Danio rerio: one gene and its partner. The protein of the gene in region 1 binds, or shares a complex with, the protein of each later gene. Links are inferred from orthologs where the notes say so. Each region holds a gene or a part of one and is shown on either strand. Other genes may lie near its edges.

Region 1 (3,831 bases):
TTGAATTGAGCACGACGGCCTGCGTATGGGGCACGCGCACCACATGGTGGTCAAAGGCAGCAGTGGGCAGCCAGACCCGGGCAGGCAGCTTGTGGTTTAGTAGTGACAGCTCTGAGATGAGCCTCTGAGTCTTCTGCTCTTTAGTGGGCAGAGTGGCCAACCTCTTTCCAATCCCCATCAGAGACTTAATGAACTCCCTCTGAGGGGTCAGACGCACAGGCTGAGAGAGAAATGAAGTTGAGAGAGGAAATGAAAGATGAAGGGAAAAGAGAGAAACAACATTTTAACACAATGCAAAAAGATTTGCAGACTTAGCATTAAAAAAAGTTGCACAATACGTTGATACAAAATAAATAAATAAAAGTGAGTACCATTAAATTAATGGTACGATACTAATATAATGAAAAGTGCCATTTTTCCCTAAGCTAAAACTCCCATCTCAACTACATGGCAGATTATGTATGTATTTAAATTATTGTTGGTATTGTGTATGTAAACAAATATATAAACATGTACATCATTTTGAATTGATACTTGTGTATCAGAAATAGTACCGTACCAAAGTCTCTTTTTGGGACGAACTAATAAAATAAAATCAGTTACTGGATTTCTATGAATGTATGAGTTATTGCACAAGACCAATTTATTATTCAGCACAGGAATATGTGGAGCAGTGCTCAAATCTGCTTAAAAACAATCTGCATGCATGATCGGCACAGCATTCTAAACTCAAAGTGAAGCATGGACATAAAACAAATCAGAAATGGTGAGAGAGAGAGAGCGTTTTAGCAACAGCTGACCACAAGGGAAAGCAAGTGAGTCATGAATGGATAGCATCACCTGAAATGAGGAAAAAGTATTAAACACAAATAAATGAGGTCATCCAAGGACAGGAAAATGTGGAGAAAGACCCATCAAACTCCTCCACATGTGCGACCTGTGGCTCATAGATGTTAAAGGACACATGGATATCTGCAATCCATGTCGAAAGATTTGCAGAAACAAATGCCATCGTGAAATGATTTTAAGAACCAATAATGACACGATCCTTTGCAAATATGCAAAAGAACACCCAAAACACCAGTAGGAAAAACTCCTTCCACCAAATTAAAATACTTCACAGAGAATTTGCCTTTGCCATGTTTAAAATAAATAAATAAATAAATAAATCAATAAGAAACCAAAGGTCTTCCAGATGATCACGGAACCCAAAATAAATGTCACTGCCGCATATTTAAATAATATTAAAGTCAAAAACCTACACAAAGATTGATTAAAAAAAAGAAAAAGAAACCGAGAAGAAAACGTCACATCCAATTAACTGAATAAAGCTACAGCTAGAACAACCACACAAAGAACAAGTATTTGCAAGCATGCTACCAGTTCACGCATGAACACATTGCTCATATCACAATTCAAAATGGAGTCTTATTACTTATTTTGAAACGTAAAGGCTAGGGCTTGGCGATATTGCAAAAACGCAATCTTGATAATTATTTTCCATATTGAACGATATATATATATTCAATGCAAGTTGTTAATGCTTCTAGTTTTAAAAGAGTATCCAAACAATGACTAAAGCCACAAAGATTAGATGCTTCATTAAATAACATTTATAGTATCGTTTATTAACAAAAAGTTTACACATTACTCAGATTTTCTGTAATATACTCACAATAAAAAATATAATATTCTGAAGAACCCAGCCCTAATAACGGCCTACATCCACCAGAAAACTTATGTTATTAATAAAATAATGTCTGCACTAAACTTAAAGGAATATCTCAGGCAAAGATTCTCACTATTTACACAACTTAAAGTGGTTTTAAACCTTTATGGGTTTCTTTCTTCTGTTAAACACAATTAATATGGCTTTTTTTTTTTTTTTAAAAAAAAGCTGAGAGCCTGTAACCATTGACTTTCATAGTAGATATGTCTATATACAGGTTTCCATCAAACAAATGCTATGGAAGTCATTGGTTACAACTTTTCAAAAGATCTTTTCTTTTTAAAAGAAGTGTTACAGTCTGTGGGAGATTTTTGGATTTTTGTAGCTTTCTCCCTCTCCTTGTCTGTCATTCACCCCATCAACTTTTGTTCCGCTTTTTTTTCCCCCTGCCTTCACAGGTATCTGAATACAGAGATACCTTTTAGATGGATTGTTGGTTGGACCGACTGAGTAGCTTAACATAGACAAGGGAAAATTAAGACCCGTTTAAAATGATTTAAGACCTACAAAACCATATTTCAGTAAGTTTAAAACTTTAAGGCCTAGAATTTTGTTTTTAAAATTGGAGATATTTAAAGACTTTTTAAGACCCCTCGGACACCCTGAAAGACGTATAAAAGTCTAACCGGTTTGAAACAAGGATGAGTACATGATGAGTGATTTTCATTTTTGGCCAAACTATCCCTTTAAGATGGCTCCCAAACATTACAATAATAAAATCTGTTTTAAAACAAAAAGTTTGCAAAGACCAACTTTTTTTCCCCACCCAAAATGCTGTTAAAATTAACTACTCAAATTATGCTAACAGCAAAATAAAATGTATTTAGTTTCTCCAATATTATAAATGAAAATAAATTTAGCGATTTTTCACGTAAATTCACAGTTTTCCGTCTTCGTGACACTGAATAGCATGATGGCAAACCTTGAAGGCACACATTTGAAGGAATCTGTGGAGTCAACCCCGCCTGCAAACAGACACAGCCATCATCCCACAACGCACAGAGCAGCGTTTTTAGACGGTGAGAGACTTACTGTACCAGCCTCTAGCTCGAGACTGTCGGAGCTGGAGCTCAGATCCTGGGAAAATGAGGAGGAGGGAGTGCAAGAGCAGGGGAGGGTGGAAGGGGTCAGAACAAGACAAAAAACACAGCTCAAGGTTACACTCGTCCCATCTGTTTGAGCAGTAGGGCCTGGCCGGCCTGAAAATTTTTCTGTGTCATGTTTATCTCTAGCTGTGGATGGTGACTGGACTAATCTCTGAGAGCCGCTCTGATCAAACCCATGTAAAGCATCACGACTGATGTTGAGGACAAGCTGAGGAGGGATTACAGAAGACACACACACACGCACGCACACACACACACACACATACACGCGCATACACACACACACACCCTACAAGGCCACAGCTCATAGCTGGATTTGTTTTATCATCTACACATTAACATAAATCAGGCATGATTTAAAGGACCCATCATAAAGCCTTATCAAAAGAGTGAATAAAACATTTATAGCATTAGCAATAGTCAAGAATTGCCCAGTGAACACTCCCCATGATCCTCGATCATATGAATTGCTTAACAAAAGAACTTGTTGATTGGTAGATATTTAATGCTTAATGTACTGCAATGAAAAGCAGGAATTACATGCAATGGGTTTTTACAGTAGGTGTGTCAATGCCAACAAAATAACTGTCACTAGTCATAGCTGGTTAGAACATGCCATGCCTGGTTAAAATAGAGCTACACATGAAAACTTTCAGTAATATTAAGTTGGGCTGCACAATATATTGTTTCAGCATCCTTCGCATGGTATGATAACCATTTTCAAGGTATACCACCGTTGGAAAAGTCGAGGTTTTAAAAAAAATTGTGCTATACTGTTCCTAAAGTATGAGTAAGATTTTTTATAGTTTTTTTTTTAGGACAACAGTATCTCTAGCAGAAAAATATCCAAAGACTCAGTTTTAAAATGTAAAGAAATCTGTGTTTGAAACTAATAAAGACAGCAGAAGTCAATGATGCATTTAAATTATTTAACCTAACATGCTTACTGCACCAAAATAATTTTAATGTTTCCCAAATTAAAATCTAATGTGTTCA
Region 2 (3,166 bases), on another chromosome or scaffold:
TGAGCTGCTCTGCATGTGAAAGTTGATGATCTGTCAACTTGACACAGCATCGGTAACGGTCACACATTTCCATCAAGCACTTTTTTATATTGAAAATTAAAACAAAGAAATTCATAAATATAGTCTCCATTAAACGCAGATATGTATATTAATTAATGAATATGTTATGTAATATGAAATTACATGTTTATTAATTTTCGATTTTATGAATTGAAATAGTGATTTTATTTTACTGTACAACTTTTAAAATAATAATGTATTGATGTATTAATTATAATAATAATCATTTGAGAGCTATATTTTTAAATAATAAATATGATTATTAATTTTAAATTTAATTATATTTATATAATATTATATACATTTAATAATATTATACAATTAATTAAATTTAGACATTTAATTATATTTTATATTTATATAAAATTAAATATTTATATAAAATTAAATATATATATAAAATTAAATTATATACCTATTATATATAATAATTAAATTTTTATATACGAAGTAAATTAATTCTATTACTATTTAAATATTATGCCAGGATGTAAATATGTTTGAAGTGCATTTTTTTATTTATTGAATAAAGTGAATTCATGTTGTTTTGACCTCAGGTGAAGCCCAGTCTGAGGAAGAGAAGGCCAAGAAGGAGTCTGGGAAACCGCAGGTGGATGAGATCGTGCCGGTCTACCGGCGGGACTGTCATGAAGAGGTGTATGCTGGGAGTCACCAGTATCCCGGCCGTGGTATATACTTACTCAAGTTCGACAACTCCTACTCGCTCTGGAGGTCTAAAACCGTCTACTACAGAGTTTATTACACCAGATAAGCCTGTCAAGACTGCAGGACAGGGACGTGTGTGTATGTTGAAAGGAAGTTGAAAAGATCAAAATAAGGACATTTACAAGAAGTCCACTACTGGGGGAGGGACAAAGAGATTTAAAATGAATGCTTGTATGTATGTATGTATGTATGTATGAATGAATGTATGTATGTATGTATGTATGGATGTGTGTGTGTGTGTGTGTGTGTGTATGCAAAATTTATGAGTGTGTCTGTCATGCTGTTTGAGTCCAGGAGGATTGAGCCTCTGTTTTGCACTCTAAAAGATTTTGTGCTTGATATCACTGTCCTTAAACTCAGCGTGACTAACTTCATCTTCTAATTTCATCCAAAGAGGTGCAGGACAATTGCGTGTATACTGATTAAAGCAACCTATGATTAGAGAACAGGCAACGGAGTAAACACTAACACCTTTCTCCTGGAGGACTCCCTCATTTAGGTCAACGCTGAGTAATTCAGCCAATGGCATGCTTCTGTACATTTTTCTCCCCCAAATCAGGATGCAGGACCGCAGTGTGGGATCAAAGAAACGGAACGGACTTTTCTAACAAAGGATCTGGAGGCCTTTAACGAATGGAGATTTTCTTTTTCTTTTTTTTTCTAAACAAGATGGATTGTGTCTAAAACATTTAATATTTATTAATCTCTGTGCTAGAGTAGGGTCATGTATGTGTCTGTCAGTCTTCTAACATTTATCTTGTCTCTTCATCGTTGGATTCTACGCTTCCACAGAGCCCCTCACTTTTATTTTTTCCTATTTCGTTTGTAGTCTTCGTTTGTAGTCTTTCGTTTGTAGAAGTATTGACTTTTAACCTGCACCGCTAATAGTTTGCGATACCCTTGCCTTTCAGTTGCGTCGTTTCTTTGCTTCATGCATGCAGTTACAAACAGCCATGAAAGAACTTGCGTTTCTATTTCTCACACTTGGTTCTTCACTTCAGTAACAAGCATCTCTCATCGTCCATTATATTAATAAAGAAGTGTTTGTATAGCCGATTGATACTAACTATCAAAGTCATTTACGTTTGCTGATTAACATGTTCTGTTATTTATTGGACTGTTCAGTGCATTGAAGAATATAACTGAAAATTTTGCGGACTGTATTTTTTAGTTTTTTTTTTTTTTGCTTCGGAGATATCTGCTAAGCCACTCTGGATTTGTCACTGGCTGTGTCGTCGAGTGAAATGTGTCGCGTTTATGATTGTACGTCAAAGACTGCTATCCGACTGTGATTAAACGTTGTCCATGTATATACGGATGCTGTTACACTGTGTTCACTTGATGAATAAAGAAAGCAGTGCGTTCGGGAGTTTCAGAGCTGATGATGATGATGATGATTCAGTGTTCATGGAGAAACAGTCATGCTAAAGCTGTCCAAAGACTACATCCATGTCACATGTACAGTCGATTGCTTACAGAAGTTTCTGTGTTGTGTGTTTGCTTTGTTTTTCACATTTTGTAATGCTGATTTCGGGCCTTTTGTATAGTGAAGTGTAACATCAGGCGGACAGCTTTTTGGGGAAAAAATGCAAGAAGCCGTTGGATGGTTCATCTGAAAAATTATCTTCATATTTAAAGTGGAAAAGCCAGTGATTTGTCAGAGCGTAAAGGCATGAAGTGTTTTTGTATTGGTTTCGCTAGTGTGATCTGATGTGTATGCATTCGAGGGTGAGTGTCTTGAAGCGTATATTTGATTAAACTTGCGTTCCTCTCTGTATGTATTCCTGCTGGGTTTTTTCTGATAATGGTTTAGTTATGGGCATGTTGTACATACCCTGATGATGTTTTGCAAAATGCTCATCATCAGTTAAGGTTACAGAATCCAGGCCCGTAGCCAACCTGGTGAAAGGGCAGGTTCTTTTTTTCTCACGTGGACCATTTTGCAGATATTCACCTCATTTTATATTTAATTACGAGTTTTAAATAGGTTGCATTTTTAGTGACATTTTAGGCTGGATTAGCTTGTCGGTTGGTATCATAACCACACTTTTTGATGTACCACAAACATTTTCTAGCGATTTAGAATGAGGAAAATATGAGGAACAATACTTTTGTTTTTTTTTTAAATATAAATTTACTACACCATATATCATTAGAAAAAGAAATGGGAATCTGATAGTATTAAAATCAAAAACTAGCCTATGGTCATTAAAATATTAATTTAAATTACAAACTGGCTAGCACATTCAACTTTCCTCAGTCACCCTGAAGCGACAGCATTTCGCTTGGTGTCAAAGCCTTCTTCCATGGATTATTTTCACGATGAAAATGCATGATGGCATAGCAGTCAAAATAGGACGAATGAGCTCATGTATGGGAA

The links.
Region 2: the proteins of pi4kb (region 1) and acbd3 are in contact, whole or in part, in an NMR structure (PDB 2N73), measured with the Homo sapiens proteins. The link is inferred for Danio rerio from reciprocal best matches to the Homo sapiens genes PI4KB and ACBD3. Residues at the interface, in NP_001317650.1 of Homo sapiens: Val37, Gly38, Val42, Ile43, Asp44, Pro45, Val47, Ala48, Gln49, Lys50, Ala51, Cys52, Glu54, Val55, Leu56, Val59, Lys60, His63; in NP_073572.2 of Homo sapiens: Gln245, Ile246, Ala249, Leu250, Gln253, Thr254, Gln257, Phe258, Tyr261, Gln265, Tyr266, Leu276, Leu280, Gln283, His284, Gln287, Tyr288, Gln291, Leu292, Val295.

The regions. Positions count from the first base shown.
Region 1 is NC_133191.1:42,588,623-42,592,453, reverse strand, and holds part of pi4kb (phosphatidylinositol 4-kinase beta), read right to left. Parts: intron 2,807-3,831; coding exon 2,762-2,806; intron 221-2,761; coding exon 1-220. UniProt on the Homo sapiens protein: Phosphorylates phosphatidylinositol (PI) in the first committed step in the production of the second messenger inositol-1,4,5,-trisphosphate (PIP). May regulate Golgi disintegration/reorganization during mitosis, possibly via its phosphorylation.
Region 2 is NC_133195.1:33,505,560-33,508,725, forward strand, and holds the end of acbd3 (Golgi resident protein GCP60), read left to right. Parts: intron 1-617; coding exon 618-832; 3' UTR 833-2,563; downstream 2,564-3,166. UniProt on the Homo sapiens protein: Involved in the maintenance of Golgi structure by interacting with giantin, affecting protein transport between the endoplasmic reticulum and Golgi. Involved in hormone-induced steroid biosynthesis in testicular Leydig cells.